Linked DNA regions of Lonchura striata. The protein of the gene in region 1 binds, or shares a complex with, the protein of each later gene. Links are inferred from orthologs where the notes say so. Each region holds a gene or a part of one and is shown on either strand. Other genes may lie near its edges.

Region 1 (8,077 bases):
AGTGACCAAGCAAGTAACTTTATGCTGCTTGTTTTCCTCCTTGTCTTGCCACTCCACAGCCTTTCACTGCACCCCCAGGCCTCTCAACCACCCCTATCATGTCAAAAAAGACCCCAAACAAAACAAAAAATAAAACCCAACAGTGCTCATTGTTAAAGCAAACAAAACATTTTGTATGTTTTTCCAGAGAAGGAAAAAAAAACCCAACTCCAAACTTACAGATCTACCTGAAATGCAAGTAAGCTTTATTACAGTGAATTATACCTCTGCCTAAACTCCTCTGAAATAGTGATTGAGCAAGATAAAAACAAGTTTTTTCTTCATCCAGGACATACACAAAAGGAAAAAAAAGTCTCTAAATGGATAGAGAAATAATAATGTGAAATGTTTTTGCCTTGAAATTGTTCTGTTTCTTCAAAGAGAAATGTAATAGTGTCCTGGTAAATCATATTGATTGAATATTGATCCTGTTTCTACAGGAAGCTATCGTCCCTGTACCTAGTGAAATCTAGGAACCCTGTACACAAATCAGTCAGTTGGTTGTGATTTGCAGGGAAGGAATTACGGCATTACAGGTATACATTTATCAGGTTGTCCCAAGCTTTTTTTTTTTTGCAACCATCACATGCAAAGTGACGCAGGCACTTACAGAAAAAAATGAAAAAAAAAATTAGGATTTGGGGTGGGAAAAGCCCTCCTCCTGAATCTGGGCTTTACAGGGAGGGATCTCACTTTTTCCCACCACATAAGGATTTTTTTTCTATCTTACAGTGAGTTCAAGCCCTGAAATGTTTGTCCCTGAGTTTGCAGTCAGGCATTTAGGTGCTCTGCAGACCAGGATGTGGTCATTCTGCATTCTTCTGTGTTAGAAATACTTTTTTTCTTTATGCTTTTGTACTTCAGTACCTCACCCCTGGATAAGGAAAACCTGAGAATAAGCCTGTATGATTCCTTGGAAAGGATGGTTACTTAAAAACAAAAAAAAAATCACAGTGCCTGGCTTTGGTGAAGCACAATTAAGCCTTACCAAGCAGAAAGTCACGATTTGAAATAAAAAAATCATATTTGAACAGGTATATATTGAATATTTCTCTAGAAGTTAACACAAGCTATGTTCTGCCTAAAAGCCTAATTATAAAAATGTAAATTTAGATCAATTCCAATATAATGTGCTCTTTACATTCTTCTAAAATTTCTGATGACTTTCACATGATTACGATTATATGTTAAGATATAAATCAGATTATAAACCCAGTATTTAAATAAAGATTTTCTGTGACCCTCAAGACACACAGGTCAATGCAAAGAGCCATCCCTCTGGTGCTGACAGCAAGGTGGTGATGTGTTACTCAGGTGGAGATATTCTGTGTGGACTGGCAGACACCTAAGCAATGTCCCCTGTCATTTTAGTGAGACCATCAGTATCTAAAATCAAAGGACTGATAGGATTTCAGGGAAAAAAAACTTATTAGGATAATGCAGAGCTCTTCTCTGCACTAGGGTAAATGATACTGGGGGTGTTCATAGCTCTGCATGTTGTGGTTGCTGTAAGCTGGGTTTAAGGCTGCTCAATGCTCAGATGTGAAATTTCCAACAAGGCTTACCCTCCTGTGCATAAGAAGCATTCCCTCATGGCTGGACCACAGAGGGACGTGAGATGTTTGGGACACAGCTGGGGTGACCTGGGTAAGCCACAGGGTGCATCACGCTTCCTGTGCCGATCCGTCCTCCTCCACCTGCCTGTCTTCCTTCTGGTTTGACCCACCTGGAATTAACATTATAAGCACTTAACACACATCTCAATTAGTTCTCTGTAAGCTCAAAGGGTAACTTTTAGTGAAACCTCATTTTGTACATTATGTATGGAAATAGAAAATTTGCACTAAAAAATTGTAATTGTCTGCACCTCGGACAGCCACAGAACAGACCTCAGACATGAAAGGAGGAGCTCCAGAGGAATCTGTGTTAGCAGATGTGACAGATTGGGTCATAAATCTGCACCAGATTTATGAGCCAAAAGAAGGCTCAGGTTCCAAATTCAGCATTTAGTAATAAAATTAGAGCTATCATTACACTTGTGCTAGTGTGTGGTAGCTAAACTCATGTGTAAAAGAAAGCTATTTAATGTGAGAATTGAAATTACTTGGTAGGAGCATAATTTTATTTTTTGTTGGGCGTTATGTGCCAGTCTGAATAGTGTCTGAGGGTGAGTCAGTACTCTTCCACTTTTAGATAAAAAAATGTGCATTAAGGGCAACTTAGAAGGCAAAGAGGCTGGTTATCCAGGGCTGCCATAAGCATAAGGCCAGTGGCAGGAAGCACTGAAGCAATCATTATAGAAGTTAATCCAGAGCCATCTGCAGTAATAGGGAATGGTAAAAGTTTTTTTTCTTCTTTCTTGAAAGAAGAAATGACAGTTCCTCATAAATGGATTCTGGGGAAAGTTTTGGGTATTGAAAAGTGCACTAAATTTGTTGAAGAGTGCTTTTGCAATATTTTCAAAATGAAAACTCTGTGTTTTAGTATAAATTTACTTTTACTTTAGTTCTGCAAACTGTTTTTACAAGAGTTGAACATCTTTGAGTGATTTTATCCTAACTGTTATGGACTGGGAAAAACCCTGTATTAACATAAGAGGTTGTCCTCATTTGGCAAAGAAAATACTTAGGAGGAGAAATGACATTGAAATTATATTGAAACAATGTGTAAACCATATTCTTCATATTAACAACCGGTAATCTTTCCCTTCTCATCTCATCTTTGTTTGATCTGCATTTTGACTATACTGTAATTTTGAAAAGGACTGGTTCCTATTGCATAGTCATGTTGCAATCATTGTTTATTGTGTTGCTCTTATATAACACCTACTCTAGGCGTATATACTTAATTCTGATCAGGAGATTAAAAAATTATGCCATATATGAACATGCATAGTCCCAATAGGAACCATCTCCAAGGACAAAACTGGTGAAATCCTTGGTATAGAAGGTTAACTCAGAGAAGGAACGTTGCATATTTGTGCCCTGCAAATATGTGCAGTATACAGGCATCTGTAGGAAAACACTAATGAGGGAGGCATGTGGAGCAGGATGCAAAATGTGTATCACACAATGCCATGGTAGTCAGAGTTCAGTTCAAGAGTCACCTGAAAGAAATTATCTTCCTGGCTATGCCACCTCCTTCCTTAGAGGGATCTTGAGCAAGACATGTTTTGATGCACATTTCAACTTCAAAACACACTAACTTTTCAGTCAGCCCCCTGGCATCTCAGACATAGATTTTTTTCTGGCTGACCAGCCTAACTTCCAGAAGTGCCCCTCTGATAACTCACAGAATTAGACATTTTCTAACCATTCGACAGCAACTGCCCTTTTCTGAACGACCTATATTTAACTCCGGGCATGTGTAAGCATTGCCTCAGGTGGCATCCTCATTTCCCAAGCATGCACTGCAATGCAGCCACAGAGCATTGCTGAATACCCTTGGCACTGCACAGCCACGGAGCATCACTGAGTATCCCTGGAACTGCACAGAGCATCGCTGAGTATCCCTGGCACTGCACAGACACAGAGCATCTTTGACTATCCCTGGCACTGCACAGACACAGAGCATCGCTGAGTATCCCTGGCACTGCACAGACACAGAGCATCTTTGACTATCCCTGGCACTGCACACAGAGTACCGCTGAGTATCCCTGGCACTGCACAGACACAGAGCATCGCTGAGTATCCCTGGCACTGCACAGACACAGAGCATCTTTGACTATCCCTGGCACTGCACAGACACAGAGCATCTTTGACTATCCCTGGCACTGCACAGACACAGAGCATCGCTGAGTATCCCTGGCACTGCACAGACACAGAGCATCTTTGACTATCCCTGGCACTGCACAGACACAGAGCATCACTGAATACCGCTGCCGTGCATCACGGCACTCTGCGGCGGGACCCGCCTGCCGCTGGCACGATTCACGGGGGCAGCACTGGGATGTTTCCAAGGGCAAGGACCAGGAAAAGGGGCGCAGTGCCAGGCTGCCAGCAGGCACCAGGCAGGGGCAGCTGCTGCCCGGCCGGGGCCGTGCCCCGTGTGCCCGCGGGGCTGCAGCAGCTGCGAGGCCCACTGGCACAACCCTGTAGTGGCACCAAAACCTGCACTTTAAACCTAATGAAACAACTGCCACAAGCCCGACAAGTGGGGTGTTGACCAGGTGGTGGAGTCGCCATTCCTGGAGGTGTTTAAGAGGCGTCTGGGTCTGGCGCTGGGTGATGTGGTTCAGTGGCTTACGGGTGTCGGGGCAGCGCTGAGAGGACGGTTGGACTGCATGATCTTAAAGCTCTCTGCCAGCCCCGAGGACGCCGCGATGCCGCGATGCCGCGATGCGCTGACCCCGCGGCCCCGGCGGCGCTCCGAACCCGCCCGGGCACCCGCGGCCCCGCCGCCCCTCACGGGACGCGCCGCCCGCCCGCCTTGGCCCCGCCCCCCCGCGCGGCGCTGCTTTCCGCCAATCAGCGGCGCCCTCCCCGCCCGCGCGCCTTCCCCGCCCTCCACTCCCCGCCCGCCGCGGCCGTGTCGGCCCGCCGGAGACGGGACGTCTCGCGAGAGCGGCGGAAACCTCGCGAGAGCTGGGAGGCCCCTCTCCGCCCCCGCCCCCGGCCCTCCCGCCGCCCCCGCCCCACCGCGGCCGGATCCGAGCGAGCCGGGCGGTGGGAGGGGAGGGAAGGAAGGGAAGGAGAGCGAGGGAAGGAAGAGAAGGGAAGGAAGGGAAGGGGGGGCGCACGGCCCTGCGCAGTGAGCGATGTTTGTCCGCCATCGCGGCGGAGGCTGAAGGAAGCGCCGCCAGCGGAGCGAGGGGCCCGCGCCGCCGCCTCTGCCGCCCGGCCCGACCCGGTCGGCCCGGCCTCCGCGCCCCCGGGGGCCGCACTCGCAGCGAAGGTCGCCAGCGGCCTCCCCCGGGCCCGTTCCCGGGCCCACCGCCCCGCCGCGCGTCCCCCGGCTCTGCCGCCCCGCGCCGGAGGCGCCGCCGGACCCGAAGATGTCGAACCTGAGCAAGGGGACGGGCAGCCGGAAGGACACCAAGATGCGGATCCGCGCCTTCCCCGTGAGTACCGGGCCTGGGCCGGCCCGAGCGGCCTCCGCAGGCCCCGGCGCCGTGCGGGCCGCGCCGTGCGCCGGGGCCGCGGGTGCGAGCGGGGCGGGGGAGCTGTCAGCCGGCACCCCGGGGCCGTGCGGGCCGGGGGGAGCTGTCAGCCGGCACCCCGGGGCCGTGCGGGCCGGGGGGAGCTGTCAGCCGGCACCCCGGGGCCGTGCGGGCCGGGGGGAGCTGTCAGCCGGCACCCCGGGGCCGTGCGGGCCGGGGGGAGCTGTCAGCCGGCACCCCGGGGCCGTGCGGAAGGCGCTTCTCAGGGAAGTGGTGCCGCACGGAGAGTGGGAGGCGGAGGAACTGGTCCCCCCTGCGATTATCGCTTCCCTCATCAAACAGATCAATTATGAAAATCCACGTACGGCAGTGGGGACCGATTTCTTTGTTTTCAAGGAAAAAGCGTCAAAGAGGGAGCCGAAGGTTATGCGCCTTCGTCAACAAAATTAGTTGGCTCCGGAAGGTGTGGGGGGGAATATTTATTTACATCTCTGCAGAGTTTCCTCTTGCTGTATTTATCTCTTCGCTCCGTAGAAGAGGCTCTAAGTCGTATGATAATAAAATGTAGGTGGCACAATGCCAGCTGTTCAGAAGGTGTTACTATAAGCATGTAGGCATAGGTAACTTGCTGCAGGTTCGGTAGAGTCGTGAGTGTGCCTTCTCTTTGAGTTACAGAGGGGAAGGAGCCAGATTATTAATTTGAAGTGCTGTAACGCTGCTGTGTTTTGACAGTCGGTTCAATTAAAGCTTACAACAGAATAACAACTACAGCACGAGTAATGGCGTTGTGGAACGAGAGGAATAGGAAAGGTTCAGTCTGCTGGAGGATGACCAGGAAGCGTGTGTGTGTTCAGCGCGGTGTATGTTAAAAAGAAGATACTTAGCTGAGTCTCTGCCTTTTAAGCATTAGCGTTGGCTTTTCAGGTTTGGTGTGAACTTTTCAATGCCATGTCTGATCCCAGTAGGCAGTGGTGTAGAACTAATGTGCTCTGCCTTTTTAGAGAAACTGGACATACCTGTTTATCTCATTTCACTGGCAAGGCATGTATCAATATATTTGCTTCATCCAAACTCTTGCTGATGAAATTAGAAGATTCTTTATAGGCTCAGCAGCCAACTTTATAGCAGTCTGAGTTAGGCTGTTTTACTCTTTCCTCTACTTTTAATCACTGATAGTTGCATTTAGTGGTAAAAGTAAAAAGAAAAAAGTGGGCTATGAGATTAGGAATTTTAGCTGATGATAGGTTTTTCATCTCCATATTTCATTTATTTCTTTAAAAAGCCTTTTCCAAGAACGTCAGTTTTGGATTAGAGGAATAAAGGAGAAGACTTCCTGCCATGTGGCCACAGTTTTATTAACAAGTAGTAGGAAAACCTGTACAAAAATAAGCCGTGACAAAAGCAATGTATGTGTTTTGTAACAAACGGCAGCAACTAAGATAGCAGCCTTTTCATTTGATAAACAGATTCATTTATTCCAGCTGTGAATATGACAATGCGATAAACTGAAGTTTGCGTATTTCACCTCTTCTGTATGTGAAATTTGTTTTGCAGGGGTGAGAAATGCTCTAATGGAGCCCTGTTCTTACATAAAGTTAAACATTATCAAGTTTTTTTAAACTATTTTTATTAGCGTTGTCTTTCTTTTCAGTTGCTTAAAGAATATCTAGGTTAATATGTGAAAAACAAAGTGTCTTCTTCCTAAAATAACTCAATAAGTCACAAGTCATCAAGGCCTGCAACTATATGGGGACATGTGTTGATAGCAGCTTTGCAGGTGTCCCCTCCGATATTTTTTTTTTTTACTTAAGACATTTTGTTGACAATCCTATTGATAAAGTGCTTATAGAAAAGAAGCATGTACTTTGAGAGATTTTGGGGGGTTTCCCTTTGTTAATTGCAGAAGTCAGCAGGTGTAGTTGATGTAAAAATCTTAACACGCATTTTGTGTATGCCTAAGTGGTTGTGAAGCTTGGTCCAGGAAATGACTTAGTGTTGGTGACTGCAGTGGGATTGTTTGTGTCAATGAGGGGCATTTTCATGGGGAGTAGAGTCTATGTTTAGAAAATGTGCTACTCATGCAGCAGCTATGGATCCTCACTCCTTTGTCCAAATGTGGTGGTTCTGCTCTTTGGCTCTCAATTAAGAGTGCTTCCAGAGGTGGTTTTGTAGGCTGCTTCAATTTGTCTTCTTATTGATCATCTTTCCTCAGGAGGTCTTTCTGTTGTAGATTAGTTTCCTTCTTGCATGGGGGTAGCTCTTTACTATTACATTAGGCTAGAAATAGCCAAATTGGAATGGTGGTGTTCCTGGAGCATAGCAATATTAACATAACTTCCTTCAAGCAAGTTCTGTTTTTTAAAATATTTTACATTTTTATAATGTATTTCATGCTTCTGTTATTATGTTTTATAATAGCTAAAGGAATTGAGAAATAATAATTTGCCAAACATTGCCTAAGCTTACCTTTTCTACCATACAAAAAATTTGTTAGAAGTGGACCAAAACCTGGAAAAGCACCAGTCTTCTACCTGGACATCTTGATACTTAGGAATTAGTTTTATTCTAGATTTCTTTTTTATTATTCTTGTAATTGGTGCCAGATTATCTGTCATCCCAAGTATCCATTAAGATTTGCTAGATCCTGGTGTGCACTGTGATGTGCTTTTTCTTACCTCAGGGGCAATGGCGCGGGTTACACTGTTTTACTTGTACACAAGTGGGTTTTACAGTAATCAAAATGAACTGAGATGTATGTTTAACCAGTTGCTCTTTTCCTAATTTATAAATTATCTTACTATAAAGAACTTTGCATTCTCTTGTTCTTCCTGACGTAAAGATGGTGATAAGCTTTTCATCAGAGGTAGTCCAGATGAGGATGCATTCTTTGAGACTTCAGATTTGAGTATATTTCAAACCTAGGAAGAGTATTTCTGAGAG
Region 2 (7,926 bases), on another chromosome or scaffold:
GCCACATCATACAATGGGATTGTTTCTTTAAAGGACTTCCACAGCTGAATAGCTGGAGAGCCATTTCCATATTCTATCCTCACTTCTTTCTTCTCAAAGGCATAACTTCCAGTAGGAAGATTTCTATACTGTGTAGGGCTGGCAGGGTTCTTATTATGAAACTCTCTGTCTACCACAATAGAAGAGCCAAATGAATCTTGTTTCTCTGAAGTACTTTCAGTCTCTGTACCTGTACTAGGAGAAACACAGGTTGTATTTCCTGCATTACGACCTTTTGTTTCTGCACGAATATCTTGATGCCCTTTTTGCTTGCTTTCAGGCTGTCTAGGATCAGTCTGTGTTTCTTTTGTCTCCACTTTCTTCCCAGGGCCACTATAATGTCTAAATCTTGTTGCATGATAAAACACAGGGGAAGGTGGGGCAGCATTAAAATAAGGCCTTCTGTTAATTCTTGTATGCACGGGATGCCGTGGAACAAAAAATCTAGGGTACTCATGGAGCGCAACAGGATAAAATGGAAAATATGGATTTCCACTTCGAAAGCCTAGACATTGGTGACAAAAAGAAAAGACAAATATCATCTTTCTGAAATAAGTCATCCTGAATCACATTTACTTGCATTGACAGGGACAAGATCAGAAACATCTGTAAATAAGACACACCACCTTCCAACGCTTAGAAGCAAATCTGGTGCAAAATCAGAAAGAGTTCTTTGTTGGAGAATAGCTTACCTCAACATCTACACTTTAACCATAGCTTGAGTTAATCCCTTGGAACATTCAACAAGTTGTTTTCTGTGCTTTTTTGGCTATTTCACAGACTATTGATATAGCATTAATTTTGAAAAATACAGCTTAAGATAGAAGTTCACATAGGTATAGCACTTGCAAACTGTATTTAACAATACTTTTCTTATTTTCTTAAGCTTACATTTATCCATACCTATCATGCATGCACATGTGGAATTCATCTATACCCACAAATATGAATTGCCAAGTATATTCTGGAGCTCTGTGTCTGCAGGATGACCATTACTTAGTATTTTGCTTAGCTTCCATTCTCCAGAAGCAGATGCTTTCCACTACACAAGCTACATATTTAAGGCAGAATTAATGTAGAGCTACAGTTGTCAAAAATCTGATTTATTAAGTATTAGTTAAAATCTCAAGAGGCTCATTAACACAGATACTGCAAGAGTGAGGAAAGAAGTATGTAACTAAGTAAGCAAAGATCCCACAGAGAGCTGCTGTTTACCTTACCTGGAGCAGGTACGCAGTATGGACTGTATGCATGACTGAAGTACCATGGATTTGGATAAGGCTGTTGAGCTGATGACTGTGCATAAAAAAAGAGTCCTGGGTGGTTTGTGGAATATGATCCACTTTCTGAAGTTGAGGCAGTACTCATTCTTCTTTAAACACTGAAAGAGAGAAGTAATCATTATCAACTGCATGACTTAATTATTTTTATGCTCTGTCAGCATTATCAGACATTCCTCTCCCTGCCCAAAGAAAACAGAAGAAAGCTGTCCTTCCAAAAGAAAGCTGCTGTCTTCCAAACAGAAGGCAACAAACTGACATGCTATCAAGGTCAAATATTTCAGTTGGGCTTTGCTAAGCAAGCTTTTGTACACAGCTCTCAATATTAGTCCTTCAAGGCAACCTTGCAACATGCTCTAAAGCTACAGAACTTCAGTAGTCTTAGATGCATGCCTCTCTATAAGCAGTATCCCAGCCAATTAAATAAAAAAGCCTTCACTGAATTAGCCTTGAGCAAGAGACCACACACACACAGAGGAAAAAAAAAGCTTCACACAATCAGATATTTAATGTCTTCATGAAGAAAACGCTTCGTAATGCTAATGCATATGTTATTACACAGTACAATAAGAACTCCATTAATTCAGGATTTGTACTTTATACTATACTTAAGAATGACAGCTAACTAATGTAGTAAACCAAGTATTTCAGTGACACCCTGCTTCCTACGCTTAAACCAAATGATAGGTAGCAAAAACAACCCCACCAAAATCCTTATGTGTAAGTTTGCATTCAGAGCCATATAAAATTCACAAGACAGAACTTCCTCCCACACTTAGATGTCTCCTCAGTTAACAAATACTTGCAAGCAATACAACACTATCACACAAAGCTTATAAGCAAGACTATAAAAAAATCAGAGAACACAGAAGCTTAATTCTTTAGAAAACTCAAGCACTTTGAAGTTCCAAAAAAAAAAAAAAAAAGCAAAAGAAAACAAGAAAACTATTTAGAGACCTGTTACAAGTTCGCACACGGTTCAGCCTAGAGTTTCAGAATGCCTTAGAAAGACTGGAGCCCTCTTCAGTTTCCATGTAGGGTGGCCTGTGCAGCTCTTGAAAGCACCAAAAAGCCTACAGACTCCCTCAGGCCAAAGAATTACTTCGACCTTTGAGAAATAGAATGGTGCAGAGAAGGGGAAAAAAACCACAAAAAAAAAAAAAAATAAGCACCAAACAAAACCCCCTACAAGAACTAAGCTATTCCTCCCCCTTATAGCCCCAAAACCTAATGTCCAATGCTGCTGCTGCTGCTGCTGCTGCTGCTGCTGCTGCTGCTGCTGCTGCTGCTGCTGCTGCCGCCACCACTTACAGCCCAGCAAAAAAAAAACTAACCACGTCCTCTTTATGGCAGGCAGCTGCTACTTGTCCACTCCTCCTCCCACCTGAGGCTCATTTAACAGTGATGCAGGGGGCGTTTTTCCATCCTTGTGTGGGAGGAAAATCAAAACACAAGGATAGGAATAGTCGTAGAAGCCTTCAGCTGTTGTACAGAAAGCTGGCTATCTCATCTTGCAGATGTTTAAGCTGCATCTCTAAGTAAATCTTGTATTTCCCTTTTATAATGTTGGAAATTACTTTTTTATTTTAGGAAAAGAAAAATAAGGGAAATGTTCCTAATCTTTTGATTCAAACTGCAGTTAAAAACACTTCTTTCAGGGGAAAAAAATCAGAAAACACAAGGCCAAGTTTACATTTGTTTTCAAGGTTTACCAGTTGTTTAGTACTGAGTAAAAGGAGCAATGCTCTTCCATCCTAACATGGCTGAGGGGGCTGACAAATGTAATGTTATTTCCACATGAACAGAAGAAGCACTTATTTCCATACAGTGTCATGGGAAGTTTTGAAATGTGAAGCTGCATTTTGACTCTACCCTGCCTTTTTACAGGAGGTGAGACTCTGAGCTGCTGCTCTGGAATTGCACATCTCCAAATGAGAGACTACTGGTACAGGGTCAGGTGAAAGGAGAGGAAAGCACAGTGCATGTGCTATGCAGGCTGGTGAGTGGTTAGGGAAAAACAAAGTGGTATGGATGCTTAGAGATTCTTTGTATTCCTGTGTTGGGAAGTTCCCAAAACTGATGTGGTTTTTCTTTATATAACATTCAGACTAAATCTGTCCTTTGTACCAAAACACAAACAATAAAGTTTGGGAAGGGTTACTGATCCATTCCTTGCAGGTCTTCCCAGCCAAAGCTTGTCCTTTCCACTGACAGCAGCTCTTGCACTTTGTATGACTTGTAGTGACAGGACAGCAAGCAATGGGTACAAAGGGAGATGGGAAATTTAGGCTAGATATTAGTAGGAAATAAATTCTCGATTGTGAGGGTGGTGAGGCTCTGGAGCACGCTGCCTGAGGACGTTGTTGAATGGAAGTGTTCAAGGCCATGTTAGATGGGGCTTTGAGCAACCTGACATAGTGGGAGGAGGGTGTCCATGCCTGTGGCAGGGAGGTTGGAGCTTGATGGTCTTTAAGGTCCCTTCTAACCTTTAACATTCCATGGCTCTATTACTTGTGTGTTTTAAATCCCCAGCTCTGCTCTGCATCCATGATACTTTCACCTCTTTGAAGGCACTTTCCAGGCTTTCTATTGGTGGGTGGACCCAAAGAGAAATAAAGAAAATAAATAACACTGGATGGCTTTTAAAAAGATGCGTGTTCTCAAGATTTTCGTTTCTCTGATACCTCCCTCAGCCTCCTGTAATCCTGTCAATTCCTTCCATCCCAGAGTAAGCTCCAGTCCTCCCAAATGTCAGGTGAACTATGCTTTTAGGGCAGCAAACCCACACTTGGCCGAAGGACATTCTAGGATTCCAGGAGGGCTGAAGGACCAAAGGCCTCCCGGGGGAGAGGTCCGAGCTGGGTGTTAACCCTGAAGCCCAGGGGCCTCCAGGCTGCAGCAAGTCTGGAGCGCAGGTCCTGTGAGGAGCTGGCGTTGTTGGAAAAGGAGAAAAGGGGGCTCAGGGCGGACTGCATGGCTCTCTACAGCTCCCTGAACGGGGAGTGTGGCCGGGCGGGGGTCGGGCTCTTCTCCCCGGCTACCAGAGACAGGATGAGAGGAAACGGCATCAAGTTTCGCCAGGGGGGGTTTAGTTGGACATTAGGAGGAATTTCTTCACAGAAGGAGCGATTAGACTTTGGGGCGGGCTGCCCAGGGCGGTGGCGGAGTCACCGTCCCGGGAGGTGTCTGACTGCACGGCACTCGGTGCCCGGCTCCGTTGCCGGTCGCCGCCGGAGGTGCCGGCGTCTCTCCCGAGCCGCTGGATTCCGCGGCTCTGGGGCCGCTGCTCCGGCAGGGGGCGCGGGGCCCCGCCCCGTCCCGCGGGGGGCGCCGCTGCCGGGGCGCGCGGGCAGGGGGCGCTCGCGGGCGGCAGAAGGGACAGGAACCCGGGGGCGGGCCCGGCCGCCCCCCCGCGCCTCGCGCCTCGCATGCGCAGACGGGGCGGGCGCGGCGCTCCGTAACGGCGGGCGGGCGAGGAGGGGGAGGGGGAGGAAGAGGTGGGGGGGCGGCGGCAACGGCAGCAGCGCCTGCGCGCCCAGGGGCCGCCGCCGCCTCCGCAGCCCGGGAGAGAGACGGGATCCGCCGCCGCATCCTCTTCCTCCCCCACCGCTTCCCCGCGGGCGCCCGCGGTCGGGACGGCCGGGCGCGAGAGGAAGCGGCGGTCGGAGGTTTGTCCGAGCGGAGGGGCGGGAGGGGGAAGGATGGCGCTGGTGGCGGCGCTCCCGCGCGCCGCAGCCGCCGGGCCCTCTCCCGGCCCCGCGCGGGGAGCGGCCGCCCGAGGAGGCCTGGGTCCCGGGGCCGCCCGCGGGGGCTCTGCGGCACCGCTCCCCCCGGCCGGCCGCGGGCCCGCCGGGCACCGCCGGAGGTGGCGGCGGGGGCCGTCTCCGCGCCCCCGGGCACGGCCGGCTCCCTGAGGCGGAGAGGCCGTCGGCATCGTTAAGCCCGGAGTGTGGCGGTGCTGGAGGAACGGGAAGGTGCCCCCTTCCTTCTTGGGGAAGCAGGAAAGGGCTCAGGGCTGCGGAGGGACGGGACGGCGCACCTGAGCATCGGGGAGAGGGAAGAAATGTGTTCCCTCGCCCCTGGTCCAGCATCGCCGCGTCCCGCAGGCGGGAGGGGCCGCGGCCGCGCCGTGTGACGGGGTCGGGGCGAGGCGGGGATGTCTGAAATCGGGTGTTTGTGTTGGCAGCGCTCGGAGGGACGCGCGTGTGAAGTCTCGGAGAGCAGCAGTGTAGCGGCATTGCCCTTCCTTGTAGCTGTCCCTACTGATCCGTCTGGTTGTGCATACGTACACTATGGATACCTGCAGTGACCAGGCGTGGGCTGCCGTGCTCGTATGTAGCTTTAAAGAGTCACATAATTCTTAGTAAGCTTTTCCGGACTAAGTAAACACGTAGTATCGCTTTGACGTTAGTCACATTTTCCCGGCGTTTACCATTATTTCTGCTATGAAACGGGATACATACCTACTGCTTTCGAAATAACTTCAGTTATTATTTAGAAATGGATTTGTGCTGTACTTAGCGTGTGCATTTTTAGAGGTTTTATTGCAAAGCCCCAACTTGGCTTTTCTACATCATGTACATCTGCCTTGTGGTCATAACGGGCCTGAAAGCCTGTGTGCTGTTAGAAGTTCACCTAGGGCTGTAGCTACATGAATTTTGTTCAGATGAGGTATTTCAGAGATTATTAGAATGCACACTTAGTATAGTTTAATTTCTCATAAATCTATCTGGAGGAATAGTTATTTTTTAGTGTTTAATTTAATTACATTAAATACTAAACGTCTACATCAGGTATATCTACTAAATATATACATCACCTAGTCTCACAATTTGAGTATAGGTGTCACACCTTTTTCCAAATTGTTTTTGTGTGTCAAATAGAGAGGTCCTTTATACTCAAAGATGTGTAAGTAGTGTCTTTCAGGAACAGTCCAAAGAGGAAGAAAGGATGTTGCTGCTTATTTAATATTTTTGACTACATTTTAGACAGATGGTTGTTGTTGTTTTTTCCTTTGTTGAAGCAGGCTTTTTTGTTTTGGTCATGTGATTATGAAACAGACCAGAATTGGTGCAAATGCTAAAATTTCTTTTTCTTGGTTTAGTTTTCTTGGACTGTAGTGCTTTGAGAATAAATTTTATATGCATGAGTATGATATCCATTATAAGACTTAACCTTTCAGGAACTAACTTACAATTAATTAAGCTAGATTAATGACTAATTAATTTCTTCATGTAGAAATGCATAAATTTATAGTTAAGTATCATATAGTGAATAAAAAAATGGCACATGCTTTTAAACTGGAATTTAAGTTGTTACATAAAACAGACTAGCTTCATTAATGTACTATAGTTCAGAGAAAAAGAAAATTGTATATATAGGATACATGACTGGATATTACTGAGACATCAGTGGCCCACTTTTTTTCAGTTTAATTTTCCAAAACAGGTCAAGTCTTCCACAAAACAGAAACACCCTTGGGGATGGAAACTACCTGTGCCCAGTGTAGAAGTCCAGTTGCCAATTTAAGCTGTTGGTTTATCATGTCATAAATGCTAATTTTCTTTCTAAGCAGGTGTTTCCTTTAGTGTGTAACTTCCTTTAGGAGCAGAAAAACAGGAGTGCATTGTGACCAAGCATGTTTTTAACATGGAGTCTGACACTTCTAGTCTCTAGTTTCTGTGTAGCTTCAGAAAACTCACCTACTTCAAAGTTGTAACTCGCCTCCCAAGCACGATATATATGGAAAATAGTAGTAGTTTTCAAGTGAATAGTCATTTTGAAGATAACCTTGTGGGAGTAAACCTTTCCTTGTTTTTAGTAAAATTTCACATTGTTGCCTTATTAGAATCTCCTTGATGTCCTCAATTTTCTGGACTACTGTGCTGTCAAAGACACCTTTGATGGCTTTAGAAGAGAGGAAAACTTCCAAGTCTGGAACTGCTTCATCAATTACCTATTTCTTTCTCGCTGCCAAGGATGTAAATTTGATACATTACTCAAGGATCTAGAGCTTCCAACTCCTTTTTTCTTCTTTCTTTTCTATCTTTGAGATCTATTGGCTAGGTGTGTTGATTTGCATAATTGATTCTAATCAGTTTTACTACTCACATTCCCCCTTGCTGTTATCTGGTATGTTAAGTTTGAAACTGGTTGGTTTGTAACTCAGAATATCCCTCATAGTAACCAAGTGTTGAAGTGTCTGAGCTGGGCAGTGTGTTGCTAGCTGGGAGGATTGCTATCTCCACACACCAAGGCTTGTGTAGTTTGGCTTACAGTTGTTCAGGTCTAAATTCTGACCTTTTATTATGTTTAAAATAGTGAATGACTCACTTCTTTAGATGTGTTTTTACTTGTGATTTGTATGAAGCTGCCCTTGGATGGAAATTGGATTTTGATTAAAAGTGCACAAAAGTAGTATTTAAAGTTTGGTTTTGGTTTGTTTGTTTTTTTAAATTAGTTAAAACTAGATTAAATAAATTGAATGTCCAGGGAGATAAGTTTGGGTTGTTGGGTTTTTTAAAAATTTTCTTCCAGACACATGGAAAATGACGTGTGTTTTTTAAAGTGTGAATTGGAGTTACTGAAGTTAGAATTCAAGAGGTAT
Region 3 (6,993 bases), on another chromosome or scaffold:
TACATCACCTTCACAGGCTTCCTCATCTATTCAGAGGCTCAGCCAAAGTGGCTTCCAGGTGCCAGCTCACCTCAAGGGTCAAACAATTAAATGCAGATGTGAAAGGAGCATAAGAAGAGCCAAGGTGCCATGAACTTGAGTATAGCTTCTCTGAATATCATCTTCTGCTTTGAGCATGCTGTCATGTGTCCAGTGCTTTCCTTACGCTGCACACTTGTGCCCTGTCAGCAGGGCCACTGCTGTGTGTGCCATTCGTCCCTAGAGAGGCCTTTGGGGTTGTAGCTGTGTGTCCCGTGTTGGTGTTTGAGTTAACATAAAAGCATGAGGTAGTTTTGGGGCAGGGGTGGGGCACTGTAGTGAGATGCTGAGGACCAGAGAACTACTGCAGTCATGATACTGCAGATCTCCAGCATCCAGAGAGAAAAGGGTGTGGTGACTTTCCTTATTTATCCAGGGAGGGAATAAGTGTAATGAAAAGGAATGTAATAAAAATACAAAAGATGAGAATGTTCTCAGTTTGGAATTTATGCTACTTTGTGAGACTTGTGTGCTTGTCATTGGCTGAGGTATCAACTCAGGTGAGAGAGAAGCATGGTAATTGTGTGAGCTGAGGATGTGTTACTGAGCCAGTCTGTCTGTGTACACTCTTTAATCACTTGTGTGTGTGAAGGGATGGTACCTCTTATGATTTTATTGCAAGTTTCACAGTGGTTTGTGCTTTTCTTTATCTGATGTAGATGAAGTCAAGAAGGTGTGGTTGAGAATCTCAACTTTCATTTAATGTAAAGAATACATTTAGAAGCAAACAAAAGAGCAGGCATCTTATAGTGAAAGATAAGGGCTCAAATCTGTGAATGGAACATGCTCTGAAAGCCCAGAAGCAAGGTAAGTAAGAAGAATAAGAAATCTGTCTTTAAATCTCTAAAGATTAGGATCAGGAGCAGGCCTCATAACACCAAGTGTGAGTAGTACCACCCCAGCAGTGGTTCTGCTGACCCCAGGGGCGTTACCTTCCCCAGAAATGAGCCCCTTGAACACAAGGGTGTTGCTGGCCCACCACGTGCTGCACTGATAGCCTCCTGCAGGCGGGGTCAGAGGAACCGTGGGTGATGTGTCCAGCATCCATTTCCAGTGGTTTTGTACGTACGGAGTTCCACCGAGAGTTTGCCCTGTGGAGAGGCTGCTGTGGCTGCAGTGGGCACTGTTGTGTTCCTACAGTCTGACAAACAGGGGTGGGCAGCCAGCGGGATCCGCTGAGGAGGTAGTGGGAGGACAGGAGACTTCATTGTAGCACCACTGCTGCTGTTTCAGTTGAGCTAAACCCCAGGTTGTATCCCAAAAATACATAAACTGCAAACGTGCACCATCCTAAGCATGTACACAGCTTCATGGCATCACTTCAGTGTACTTTATAATCCGTTCAACAGGCAGCAATGCTCTAAAACTGCTCCTAACAAAATCCCGAGTTCAAAGCAGTGTGTTGGCATCTGAGTCACAAGCCAACCCACTCCGCGTTTTTCCATATATTTGTATGGCTCAGGCTGTATTTTCTCCAGCAATACAGTATTTTTATGCACCACTGCCATCTCAGCTCAGCCTTTTGATGATACTCTGCTCAAACTCACTGCCTCTGTCACTCCATACATGTCCTAGGCATTAAAGACTGGGGCATATTTGGGAAAAGGATGAAGAGTAAAGATTTGAAGTATGTAAAAAACCAGCATAAGGTAAGACAAGAAGTTTTACTTCAATTAAATTCTAATTTTAATTAATATACCATTTGGGGTGAAAAAGAAAGACACAAACAAAAAGAACCCCAAAACACAAACCAAAATGAAACAAGCACACAAAACAAAAATCCAACAACAAACAACCTGCTTTAAATCTACCTCCTGTCAAAACCCTTAGCTGACCTCTAAAGCCATTGTCTGGAGCATCTTGCTTCCAGGCTTCTTGTTCCTGCCTTACCATTTTCCCTCTCCATCTGTTGGGCTACAATGGCTTGGAATAAGATTAACTAGGTCAGAAACTAGCAGTTCCCACTCTGAAGGTCACACATGCCTCTTTTGTCTAACATGGAAAAATTATATTGATAGAAAGGGAATTATGGATCCCATTGTCTAAGCACATGCAATGAACGTTTGAAATTTATGTACCTATAGGTGCAGCAGGAAATCTGCTAGAAACAACAAGAATCAAAATCAAAACCCTCCTGAGGAGACAATTACATTTATCTAATTCCACACCACAGTGTTTAAGACAGACAAATGTTAATGATGTCTTTTTGTAAAATAATTATATTTCTGATAGAGACTATGTGTTTATTATGTTTGGCTTGTAAAATGCCACAGCTGTACAAAAAAAAAAAAACTTTATAGAAGAAAGGCAAAATCTGCTGAAGAAATAACTAGGTCAGGATTCTTCAGAATTTAAATGAGATTTCAGGAAGTATATTCCAAAATGATAACTGAAACAAAGCTGTGTATATGTGTAAATATGATATGCAAACACTAGAAAGCTTCATGGAATACATACCTTTTCAGGTTGCCTTTTAAAGAAAAATTAATACGTGATATGGGAAATTGCTGTTGACACATAAAATATGATGCCACATGAGGAGAAAAATTAAATTAAATATGTGACCTATATAATGAAACACAACAAAACCTGCTTAGCTGCTACTGGAGAGGAGAAAAGATCTTGTATTTGTCTGAAACCACAGTGAGAATATAAGGAGAGTGAACTGAATTATCTGAAAGGAAGTCAGCTGTGACACCAGCATAATATCTTAGAAAAATACTTCCAAGCCATCTCTCCTGAGCATCAGTGATCAAGATAGATAAGACATCTAAATAGCACTGCCCCATTCAGCACAGCTCACTTAGCAAAAAATCAGAAAAGGGAGAAATGCACTTTTGTCCTTTTTTCATTTAAAAATAAAAGCTTGCGCATAAATCCTGAGGGGGTTGTCAGCACAGTGCAGAAAGCAGGACAAAAGGGTGTGGCATATTTATTGAAAGTCCTGCACACTGTGGAAAGCATTGAAAATAACCAAGGAGGCAGCTGAAGCCAGGTGTGCCCTTTCCTACGGGGGTTCCCTCTTTAGGTGTCTCTCTTGGTCCTGGCCAGGTTAGAGCGATAGAAATGTTTCAGGGATGCTAAATGTGAAGGCTTCTCCTTCCAAGGCCAGGAAGCCTGGAGGAGAGTGGTATTTGCAGGGCAGAGCCCCTTGCACAGGTCACGGAAGATTTCATCAACCAGCTGAGAGAAAAAGCCAATCCAGGGGGATTTATCCAGACCCTGCATGGAGCGAACCTGATAGGCACTGTAAACACTGGTGAAAAGGAGACGGTCGAACTCTGTCGGAGGCAAGGGAGCGTCGGTCAGTGAATAGTATCTCAGGTGCTGCTCAATCTCTGCCGGTGTTTTGGGAACTTCCTCCTCTAAAACCTGCAGGAGGCGCCGTGCCGGGCGTAGGGAGGCCAGCTCTTCATCCCGCAGCCGGATTGTCCCGTTGGTCTGGATATCCAGCCTTCCCCAGAGCATCTGGAAGAGAGGGGCAGCGCTGTCACGGAAAGCCCCGCACAGCTGCACCGCTGCCGGACGCGCTGCGGGCAAAGCCCAACGCAGCGCCGCCGAGCACACCTCGGGCGGGTCGGCGGGGCCGTGAGGGACCCAGTGCGCGTCCTTCTCTGCCAGCCCCACAGCCCGGTTCCGAGCATCCCTACAGCCCGGTTCCGAGCATCCCCACAGCCCGTTTCCCCGCTGTGCAGCTCCGCCTCCCGCCCCGCCGTCCCCCCGCAGCCCCGCCGCAGCCGCTCCCCGGTGCGGCCGCCTCCAAGCCCAGCGGGGCCGGTCCCTTGTCCCGGCGCGGGCACAGCCGCCGTGGGCTGCGCCCCGCAGTGCCAGGGGGCACAAATGCCATTGGGCATCGCCGAGGCGTTCTCCGGGGGTCCTGAAATCCGGCAGGGATGAGAACAAACAGAACAGGTGAGTTTTTACGTGCAGGCAGGTGGGAGCGTGGGCACTAACAGCGCCTCGGCCCAGAGCCCCCAGTGCTCAGGAGACCTCTAACATGATGCCAGCGTCCTCTGGGCCACGACGGGCTCTGTTGGTGCCGCTGTGAGGATGTTCATCTGGAAAACATCAGACAGAGCTTGGTAGCACAAGACCTTCATGTTTACTGGTTTTGCCATTTGATTGTCAATAACATCTTCAACATTCCTGAGCTACCACTCAGCTTGCCAAATATGACAGATGCTGACCACGGGATTTTGATAAGCAAAACAAGCTTTTTAAGAGAAGCAGTGGTTGAGGCGAGGTTTTGGATATCACAGCCCTCAGTGCTGCCAGCAGAGCTAAAGCATACAGCAGCAAGGCACTGCTTTGACAGGCAGCAAGGAAGACTCTCACACCGAGAATGGATGGGGTTTGAGCCAATGGGGTTTGGCTGGTTAGCAGTTATTGCTGGAGAAAGTAATGCTGCCCAGTGAAAGGAGGGTGCTGGCAGGCTCCTCAAGATGCTGCTAGAAACAGAAACTGATGCTTATCCTGGTTATCTACTTCTTCCTTAAGCTTCTGCTGCTGGAAGAGTGTGAGGATAAAAGAATCCTTGCCAGATCCATTATGGCTCATTTGATGTCCAGCTAATTACTTGCTGGGACATATGACATCATGTAAAACTGAGGAAAATGGATATGAGGCCAGAGGAATGGCAGTTTTTGAATATGAAAGTCACATTAATCCTAAGAATTGTTCATTTTTCATTTCCTAATACTTACAGTGCTTTAACTGTCGCATCTATTTCTTTCTTTGTGTGTATGAAAAAGGAGACATAAGCAGTCTTGGTCCAGGACTGTGAAAGAGAGGCTGCATCCCCTCCCTCCTCTGTGTCATGAGGTAGCCAAGACCCTCTTCTACTTCTTAGAGGCTCATCCCTCAGGTTAAGAAATATGAAATGGAAAAAGCTCATATAAAATAGTAAGCTCTCCAATATATTTATGGGCTTTTTTTTTTTTTCATTTTTAAATGGATGAAAGCTTTTTCATACATATATTAAAAAAAAAAGTAAGGATTTACATTGAATACCAGAGTTAAAGTCAGCAGGAGCATATAAAAAGTAGAAAAATTATTTAGTACTACACACGTGTGATGACTGCTACCAAAAAACACTTCCAAATCCTCATTTTTGATTAGACCTTTTCAGGGAGATGCACGAGCTTCTGGAGAAGTGCACTGCCAGCCGGCAGCCTGCAGTGTTTGTTTCTCTGCACAGCTGCAAGCTCTGTGATCCAAGCCAGCTGTGGCTTTGGAATGTGAGCAGGGATGTAGCTTCTTTTTTCTAGTCCTCCACAGATGTACCAGCAAGGCTTTTAGCTCAGGTGAAAGCATTATATCATCTGAAAATTTATTTGCTTGGTATTGTCTCTAGTAACCGATGCTCCCACCTCACAGAACCCTCTCCTGAGAAATGTCTGACCAGCTGCAAAGTCAGTGCATCTGCTGAATAGGTGCCAAACTGCCCTTATTAGTTACTGCCTCATAAATATACACAGTGGAAGATTTTTGAATAGAGAAAAATGTAACAAAGCACAACAGATAATGTATTGGAATAAAAACGTAAGTATTCCCTGGGGAAGGGAAAATTCTTACTTATTTTATCACTCAACAGGGTTGGGTGGGGTTTTGTTTCCAAAAAAGCATATAGAAAATCCACAAACAGTATTGCAGGAGATTATTTTTTCAGCGGAGACCCAAGAAAATCCTCCCCTTGCCACCAAACACAGCAGCAGGTCTTCAACCTGCAAGGATGTACCAGTGCAAAACCCCCCCAGCTGGACTCCAGCTCTATCCCATGCCAGTGCAGCTGCCTGAGGCCTCGGGCCAGGCATTTGGAGGAGCAGCATTTGGAGGAGCAGCAAAGCATCACACAAATGGCATTGCACAAAGGTTTGCCAAGCCAAGGGGCCATGTCGCTAACAGATGTGCTCCCTACCTGCCAGCCTCTGGGATGCAGCAAACACACACAGGAGCAGCCAGGAGCTGAGCTGTGCCCGGGCCATGGCAGCACCACCCGCTCTGCGACAATGACGCGCCCCACGCCACAGCTGCTCGCCTGGGGCGTCTTCCCGTGCTGCTTCGGATCCCAGCAGCCTCTCTTGGAATGCATCCATCTTTCTGTGTTTCTGGTCACAGCCCTGGGAAGGGCTTGCAGTTCAAGTTGTTGACCCCGAAGGATGTTTTCCGTCATATTTTGGAAACTTGGAAAACTTTGTTGTGATGTTTTTGGCAGAATCGTTCAAGCTTCCTTTTCAAAGATTGACTTTCCACTGCAATGATTATAGGAAGCTGTTAGTTGCAAGAAATTCCACTACATATGTTTGCCTCTTAAGAAGTGAGGACCCCCTAGTCCCTTCCATTTCTACACAGTGTCTCTGTCACATTTCAGTTTTCCTTTTTCCTGGGTTCAAAAATCTGAAAACAATCCTGGAATGTCACAAACAGATAAAGCTAGCAGACTGCAGATTCATGGAAGGGCAGTAGCAGCCAAAACATACAAGCAGGCAGAAGAAGTGTCACTGGCTCAGTTCTGTATCAAACCCCCCCGGAGGGAGAACTCAGTACAGTGACCTAACAAACACCAAGTATCAAAGTGGCTCAGGCTTTAGCACTTCATCTTCCTCTCCTGTGAGTGGACTTTTGGGTTACAGTGAGCATAGTCGCCCTTAGATGTTCTAAATTACATAGACAAAATTTCATTTGATTCACTTTACAGGAGATGTCTGTTCACTACAAATCTTTACATATTTGTTAGTGCTAAGTCCCCAGTCAAACTGTTCTGTATTTCTATTCTGTATGGCACAGAATGTAATGCCAGGGTTATACAAATATTCAGTAATATGTATAAATGAGAACTAATGCCATCTCTCTAGGTTAAAGGGAAAAAGAAGTCTGCCTAGAAAAGAGAGAAGGTAAAGCTGAAATGCATTGCTT
Region 4 (7,459 bases), on another chromosome or scaffold:
GATCTGCCTGATCATTGAGGAACAATGCCAGCATCTCCCTGGCCTTGTGTATGAGCTGTGATTTGCCATCGTGGTCCTGAAGGGATTTCCCATGGACTAAGGCCCAGGAGGTCCTGACTGCAGTGCTGGCCAGGGCCTCAGAGCTCTCCTGTCCACACCACACCAGACGGATCCTCATTGCACTTCATCCTGTAGCTGCATTGCCTGCATTTGATCTGTGTCATTGCTACCAACAGAATAAAGATTCTGGCTTTTTGGTTACAGTCCAGTTTCAAAAAATAAACAGCAAAAGCAAAAATCAACTCAGCTGTCATTCTTGGATGGACAGGATCAAATTCCAAACCAGACCTGCCAGGTTCTACATTTCCTTTGGCCCCTTTTACAGCCCATGTTTGAATTCTGGGCTGAGAAAAAGGAGAGTCATCTTCTTAAAACAGCACCATAGAGGTTAATGAAGGGACAGGAAATGGAACAGTTTCCCCCCATACACACATTTGAGCTGTTCATGCAAATAAATCACAAAAAAAAAAAACCACTGGAAGAAGAGACCTTCTAGGAAGGAATCTGATGCCACTGATCCCCCAAGCTGCCTGTCCAAGAAAAGGGTTGCCCCTTCCTGCCAGGGCGCTGTCCCTTGGCATAGGAGGGAGCCCCAAGTCTCATTTGCACTTGGATGATGCCAAATGACAGAACTCCCCTATGCTCAGGCCTGTGGAAGCAGCAGCAGATCACACAGAGGCCAGCAGCACTGAGGCTGACTCCTATGGAGTCTTAGGATATCTAAGATTGATCTATACGGACAAATGGGCAGGTATAGTATCACATTGAATTTAAAACACAGGGCCATTTACTTTTCAGACTCTTCACACAGACTCCCTCCTCCTCCCCTCCTTCTTCGGGAGGAGGAGGAGTTTTCTAGCACAGAGAAGATTTGCAGTTTCCCAATGGGATGAGAAAACCTACTTGGCAAAGGTATAGTACATCACCCAGTCATCGTAACCAGACAAAACTCCACTGAGCTCAGAGAGCTTCGTCTGTCCCTCGAGACAGTCTCTCGCCCAGTTCTGCCCAGTCGGCCGCTCCCAGCTCCGGCTGCCCGTGGCTCGGTGATTCCTCATTCCCAGGCCACAGGCCGGCTGGGCAGCCCTCCCACCTGAGCAGCAGCAGTTCAGGGGAGCCCTCCCCGGCCTCCCGGCCGGGCCCCACGGCTCACCCACCCGCGCAGCGCACCGGCACGTGCCTCCCCCCTAGTCCAGAAAGCGCCTGCGCGAGCCCGTCCGGGAGCGGTTCGAACGGCGAATGTCAAACTTGGAGTCCCGGCACTTCTGGCAGATGTAGACCTCTGGGACATTCGACTTGCGGATTTTGGCGCAGGAAAGGTGGATCCAAGTGTGGCACTCGTTGCACTCGATCATCGGCCGCCCAGCGAAAGGCTTCATGCAGAAGCAAGTGACCAGGTCCCACGAATCATCATCTGCAAAGACAAATATCAAAGATACATTTTTAGCGGCTGATGCCTCTCACACCAGGAATTTTCTCTCCTTTCATGCTAAATTAACTTCAAAGATAGGCATTTTGCTGCTGTTTCTCTTGCACAAGAAGAGACTCTCAGCAGTACACAGGAGGCCGTAATCGAGGAGATGCTGCTTCTATAAAGTTGCAGCTTTTCACTCAGTTTATTGCAGAAAGAGCCAGCCCACCTTCCTCCTCCCAAAAATCCAACTGCTCCTGAACTCCACCCAGGCAGTGCTCCTCTGCAGTATCCTCAGGCTACAAGTAAAGCATCATTACTTCCACCTGGCTAATCCTCTTGGACAGCCATGTCACCTACCTGAATCCACCATGATGTCCTCATCATCACCAGTGCCATCCTCATCCCGAAAGACCACCTGCTTGCCCTGCCGAATGACCGTTCGTTTGCCCACGCTCTGGATCTCCACCGTCTGCTCGGCCGTCACAGCAGGGTAGGAGACGCTGGACGGGGTGTCAGAGTCCCACACTGAGCAGTGCTCAGTCACAGACTGAGGGTCACCCTCTGACGAGGGGCTCATCGGCGTCTCTGTGTAAGAGTCCTCTGCCTCCAGATCCAGCAGCTTCTCCTCATAGTCCTCCTCTGCAGACACCTCTGTTTCCCTCCTTTTCAGCTTTTTCTTCTTCCTGATCTTATCGATTTGCTTTCGCTCTGGCAGGAAGTTGCTGGTCTTTGCCCGCTGGAACAGGGAACCATACGGTTTTGTTCGCTTAAGCTGACTAAAGTTCTTTCTGTTCTTGGTGGGCAGGGAGACAGAGGAGGGGGTGTCATTGAAGCGGGGATCCCAGCTATCACTGTCAATCGTGCCTCCAGTACTGTTGGGAGGGCTGGGGCTGTTCCTCAGCGGCGTTTCCTGGAACACGTTGAAGAAGCAGGTAACAGTTTGACTCTGAGCAGACTTGTGTGTGGTGCAAGGCACTGCACCCTGTCCCACAGAGCACTCTGACTCATCCCTGAGATGCTGTGCCCTGTCCCCTAGTGGTGTCCCCTGTCCCCACGGGATGAGCCCCTTCCCCCGGGTACTGTCCCCTGTCCCCCAGGGCATTCTGACCCATCCCTGAGATGCTGTGCCCTGTCCCCTAGAGTGGTGTCCCCTGTCCCCACAGGCTGAGACCCTTCCCCTGGGTACCGTCCCCTGTCCCTGAAGCACTGTGCCTTGTCCCCTGAGCTGCTGTACTCTGTCCCCTGGGGAGCAGTGCCTTGTGCCCCAGAGTGCTGTGCCCTGACCCCGGGGGAGCTGAGCGCTGTCCCTGAAGCACTGTGCTCTGTCCCCGGTTCCCAAGCCGCTGAGCCGTCCCTCGAGGCGCTGCCGCTCCCGCTCTCCCTACCACCACCCCGCGGTTTCTCGGGCAGCTCCCGGGCGCGGGGAGCAGCAGGAGCGATGCCGGATCCGACGTTTTTCACCCCGCCCACGCCGGGCACCACCCGCCCCGTCCCCAGAGCCTCCGGCCGCCGCGGTTCCCCTTTTGTTCAGCCCGGCGCGGGGCCGTGACCGCTGGAGCGGCCGGTCTGACAGACCGGCCCGGTGCCCCCCGTGCCCCCAGCCCGGCGCCCCGCCCGGTGCCCCCCGGTGGAACTCACCTCCTGCGGGTACGGGATGTAGCCGGCGTAGGCCAAGACGAAGGTGCAGAACTTATTGAAGTCCTCCACGGTGCGGTGCCGCCGGGAGCCGGGGGAGAAGTCCTGCGGGGGGCGGGGGTGAGCGGCGGCCGCGGCGCCGGGCCCGCCGGGGGGAGGCGGCGCCGCCGCTCCCGCCGCGCCCCGCGCCGCCCCCCCGCCCCCGCAGCGGCGGAACCGGGCAGTGCCCCCCCCCATCGCCCCCCGGTGTCGGCACCGGGCCCCCAGGCAGCCTCCCCGGGGAGGGCACGGCGGGGCGGCGCCGCCGCCATTCCTCGCCCCGGCGGCACAAGATGGCCCCGGCCCCCCGCCCCGCGGCGGGGAACGGACAGCGGGCACCGGCGGCCGGACGGGGCCGGGCCGGGCCGGGCCGGGTGGCGGGACACGCACCCCCTCCCCTTCTGTTCCCTCCCCGCTTCTCCCTTCCCTTCCTTTTTCCCCCCGCGACTCCGGCTCACCTCCGGGGCAAACGGCGAAGCGCAGGAGTCGGAGTCCATGTCCCGGCGGGGGCGCGGGCGGGGCCGGGCGGCGGCGGCGGCAGCCGGGCAGCGCCGACACCGCGAGCGGCTCGGTGCCGGCGGGAGGCGGCGAAGGGGCGGCCGCCCGCGCGGGGCCGCCGGGAGCCGTAGTCCGGGCGTGCGCAGTGCCGGGCGCGGGGCGCGCTGGGAGCGGCGGAGGGGCGGGGGCGCTGCCGGTGCCGGGAGCGGCGAACGGAGCGGGAAGCGGAGCGCGGAGCAGGGCGGAGAGCGGATCGGTGAGTGGGGCCCGGGAGTGGCTCCTACCGGGTGGTTGTGGGCCCAAGCGGGAGGGGCCGGCCCTGGCTGGCGGCGGTGGCAGGACGGGCAGGGCGCCGAAGCGCCTACCGCGAGCCGGACCCTCAGCCCCGAGGCGGACCCTCCGCCCGGGCTAACGGCGGTACCCGAGCGGACTCGGAGCGGAGCTGCCTCAGCGCCGTCTGCGCTCGGGCCGCTCTTGTGCTCCCCCGGTACCATTGGGCGGCTCCTAAGCGCCGGCCCAGGGCCAAGGGCGCGGGGCTGGGCGCGGTAGCTGCGGGGCCCTGGGACCGGCCCGAGCGGGGCCGCGCTGCCAGCGCCGCCGCCTGACGCTACGGCCGCTCCCGGCTGGGGCGGGCTCCCCGAGCCCACCGCCGCCTCCTTGCCTGATCCAGGTGCGCTCCCGCAGGCACGGCATGGCGACAAGCACCGGCGGGACGGCAGCGGGAGCCTCAAGCACGGCGGCGGCGGCGGGAGAACCGGCACACGCGGTGTCGCTGCTGCGGGGTCTGAGCGCGCTGCGGGCCGAGCGGAGCCTGCTGGACGTGACGGTGGTGGCCGGCGGGCGAGAGTTCGGGGCTCACCGCGCCGTCCTGGCCGCTGCCTCGGGATACTTCCGCGCCATGTTCGGCGGGGCCCTGCGCGAGTCGCGGGCCGAGCGTGTGCGGCTGCACGGCGTCGAGCCCGAGTGCCTGGGGCGGCTGCTCGACTTCGCCTACACCGGCCGCGTGGGCCGGCTGGGCCCCGACATCGCCGAGCGGCTGCTGCGCGCCGCCGACCTGCTGCAGTTCCCCGCTGTCAAGGAGGCCTGCGGTGCCTGGCTGGCGCGGCAGCTGGAGCCCGCCAACGCCCTGGACATGCAGGACTTCGCCGAGGCCTTTGCCTGCCCGGAGCTGGCGGCTGCCGCCCACCGCTTCGTGCTGCGGCACGTGGGCGAGCTGGGCGCCCAGCTGGAGCGGCTGCCGCTGCAGCGCCTCCTCTCCTACCTGCGGGACGATGGGCTCTGCGTCCCCAAGGAGGAGGCTGCCTTTCAGCTGGCACTGCGCTGGGTGCGCGCTGACCCTGCCACCCGTGCCCCGCTGCTGCCACAGCTCCTGGCCCACGTCCGCCTGCCCTTTGTGCGCCGCTTCTACCTGCTGGCCCACGTGGAGAGCGAGCCGCTGGTGGCCCGCTGCCCTCCCTGCCTGCGCCTTCTGCGTGAGGCCCGCGACTTCCAGGCTGCCCGCCTCGACCGCCACGACCGGGGGCCCTGTGCCCGCATGCGCCCTCGGCCCTCCACTGGCCTCGCCGAAATCCTTGTCCTTGTTGGTGGCTGCGACCGTGACTGCGATGAACTTGTCACCGTCGACTGCTACAACCCACGCACTGGCCACTGGCGCTACCTGGCCGAGTTCCCCGAGCACCTGGGAGGGGGCTACAGTGTCACTGCACTGGGCAACGACATCTATGTCACAGGTAAGGCATACAGAGAATGAGAAGCACCAGGGTGGAGGGTTCTGTTGAAAATATGTAGGTTGTAGCCACAACATTTGGCTTTTCCTGGGTAGCAGAGCGTTTGGGTCTTGGCTTGGGTGCCTGCAGCCTGCCAGTAGGCATGGAGACTCCTGGAGTCGGTGCTGGATTTAGCAGTTGGTCTCAGTCCAGGAGCTATTTTGTCATGACTAATGCTGTTGAGCATGCTGGCAGAAGTCACAGATCTTGTAGTTAGAACTTTTTAACCGTCACTGAGGACAGGGGTGATGTAAGAAGGTTTTGAGTTTCGGTCTTTGAAGAAGGTGTTCAGATTCAGAGCCCCCTGAATCACATGCTTGAGGCTGAGGCATGTCAGAAAACCCCAGGTTCTTTCACCAGCCCCTGTGAGTCACGGTACCTTCCCCTGCACAAATCCTGCCTCCTTGCTGGGGTACAATTACTTCTGTCAAGGTGACACCAATATGTAAATTTGGCTGATAAGCTGTATGCAGATCCCTCCTTTGAACTACATCTCTGTGACAGCTATAACAAACTGAGGCCCAGGACACTGAGTGCTGTGGAGCAGCCTGCCCTCGGTGTGCAGGACACACTGGCACACCTTTGAAGAGCAAGTCTTAATGCAGGTGAACAGAAAACTGTGTGTTCTCTAGTCACAAGCAGAAAACAAGGACCTGCTTTAAGGACAGCATTGTAAAAATGACAGGCTACCACATGGATGCAGCATGTTTTTACAGAAGCCCTTACATCCTGTGGGAGCTTTCTGGAGTGATCCCAGGCAGATCAGTCCTGCTGGGAGCTGTGTACAGGCTGCTGCTGGGGATCTTGGGTTGGTTTGGGCTGTGTCAGTGTGACAAAGGCAAGGCTGGGAGATTCCCAAGCTACCAGCAGCACCACTGCCTTGGCAGCTTCTGGGCAGTGACTGAGGGGGGACTGTAAAATGGTAGAGAAGTGGGTATGAGAGGACAGAGGTAGTGAAACATGGAAGACTCATTTTGAGTCTCAGCTATGTATGGACTAGGAATGACATGGGAGAAATCCTCCCTGGCTTGCTGGGAATGAAACAGTGCAAAACTTCTCTTAAAATCCTTGTGGCACTTGTGCTGAGCCAAGCCCTCTCCTCCATCACCCTTCCCTTTGTGGAGCCAGGATTTTGACATGTGTCATGCTGTGCCACAGGGGGCTCGGATGGGTCCAGGCTGTACGACTGTGTCTGGAGGTACAATTCCAGTGTGAATGAGTGGACAGAGGTGTCGCCCATGCTGAAAGCCAGGGAATACCACAGCTCCACGGTCCTGGACGGGCTGCTCTACGTGGTTGCCTCTGACAGCACGGAGCGCTATGACCACACACTGGACAGCTGGGAGGCCCTGCAGCCCATGCTGTATCCCATGGACAACTGCTCCACCACCTCGTGCCGTGGGAAACTCTTCGCCATCGGCTCCCTGGCTGGCAAAGAGTCCATGGTCATGCAGTGCTACGACCCCGACAGTGATCTCTGGTCCCTTGTCAACTGCGGCCACCTGCCCCCCTGGTCCTTTGCCCCAAAGACCGTCACGCTCAATGGTCTCATGTACTTCATACGGTGAGTAGTGGGAGCAATCACTTCCCTCCCTCCCCATGTCCCCATGAGGAGAGCCCACAGCTTCCCTGGGAAGGTGGATTTTGTGGATTTTGCAGGTAGTGGACGAAGGGCACTGGGTTGGGACAGCACAGCAGTGCTTCCCCTGATGGTGCAGGGAGGGCTGTAACACTTCTTTCCTTGAGTTGCTGGGCTTCAAAGAGCTGCCCATAAACTTGTGTGAAAATGTCTGAGTGTAACCCAGGGCTGGAGAACAGACACGTGTAAATCCATCTGAAGTCAGCAGCACTGCCTGGAAATTGGCTTCTCGGTTTCTTCAGCTCCTGGTTCAGTCCCCCTTGTTGCTATAAATAAACACATAAGCTCCAAGAAAACGTTAAACTCTAGTGCAGGAGAGGACGTCTTCTGTCTCAGCAGAGATAAGAGGGCTGAAGATGAAGTGATTGGTCACTATTTTTAAGCACCTTTCCAAATTGGGACTTAATT

Evidence for each region.
Region 2: CUL3 (region 1) and KBTBD2 share a complex: the UniProt entries of both Homo sapiens proteins name them as parts of the BCR(KBTBD2) E3 ubiquitin ligase complex. The link is inferred for Lonchura striata from reciprocal best matches to the Homo sapiens genes CUL3 and KBTBD2.
Region 3: CUL3 (region 1) and KBTBD4 share a complex: the UniProt entries of both Homo sapiens proteins name them as parts of the BCR(KBTBD4) E3 ubiquitin ligase complex. The link is inferred for Lonchura striata from reciprocal best matches to the Homo sapiens genes CUL3 and KBTBD4.
Region 4: CUL3 (region 1) and KLHL21 share a complex: the UniProt entries of both Homo sapiens proteins name them as parts of the BCR(KLHL21) E3 ubiquitin ligase complex. The link is inferred for Lonchura striata from reciprocal best matches to the Homo sapiens genes CUL3 and KLHL21.

Annotation. Positions count from the first base shown.
Region 1 is NC_134612.1:9,625,982-9,634,058, reverse strand, and holds the start of CUL3 (cullin-3), read left to right. Parts: upstream 1-4,953; 5' UTR 4,954-5,032; coding exon 5,033-5,098; intron 5,099-8,077. UniProt on the Homo sapiens protein: Core component of multiple cullin-RING-based BCR (BTB-CUL3-RBX1) E3 ubiquitin-protein ligase complexes which mediate the ubiquitination and subsequent proteasomal degradation of target proteins.
Region 2 is NC_134603.1:111,258,439-111,266,364, forward strand, and holds the start of KBTBD2 (kelch repeat and BTB domain-containing protein 2), read left to right. Parts: upstream 1-4,833; 5' UTR 4,834-4,987; intron 4,988-5,505; 5' UTR 5,506-5,650; intron 5,651-7,926. Other genes in the region: uncharacterized protein LOC144246033, read right to left, coding at 1-544, 1,260-1,407. UniProt on the Homo sapiens protein: Substrate-specific adapter of a BCR (BTB-CUL3-RBX1) E3 ubiquitin ligase complex that acts as a regulator of the insulin signaling pathway, modulating insulin sensitivity by limiting PIK3R1/p85alpha abundance in adipocytes.
Region 3 is NC_134608.1:39,478,793-39,485,785, reverse strand, and holds the start of KBTBD4 (kelch repeat and BTB domain-containing protein 4), read left to right. Parts: upstream 1-3,843; 5' UTR 3,844-3,971; coding exon 3,972-3,990; intron 3,991-4,068; coding exon of another isoform or gene 4,069-4,136; intron 4,137-5,995; coding exon of another isoform or gene 5,996-6,062; exon of another isoform or gene 6,063-6,125; intron 6,126-6,993. Other genes in the region: C1QTNF4 (complement C1q tumor necrosis factor-related protein 4), read left to right, coding at 1-90; protein FAM180B, read right to left, coding at 3,103-3,546, 4,069-4,136, 5,996-6,062. UniProt on the Homo sapiens protein: Substrate-specific adapter of a BCR (BTB-CUL3-RBX1) E3 ubiquitin ligase complex which targets CoREST corepressor complex components RCOR1, KDM1A/LSD1 and HDAC2 for proteasomal degradation.
Region 4 is NC_134626.1:4,242,115-4,249,573, reverse strand, and holds the start of KLHL21 (kelch-like protein 21), read left to right. Parts: upstream 1-4,330; 5' UTR 4,331-4,337; coding exon 4,338-5,376; intron 5,377-6,570; coding exon 6,571-6,976; intron 6,977-7,459. Other genes in the region: PHF13 (PHD finger protein 13), read right to left, coding at 1,248-1,474, 1,832-2,384, 3,113-3,214, 3,607-3,645. UniProt on the Homo sapiens protein: Substrate-specific adapter of a BCR (BTB-CUL3-RBX1) E3 ubiquitin-protein ligase complex required for efficient chromosome alignment and cytokinesis.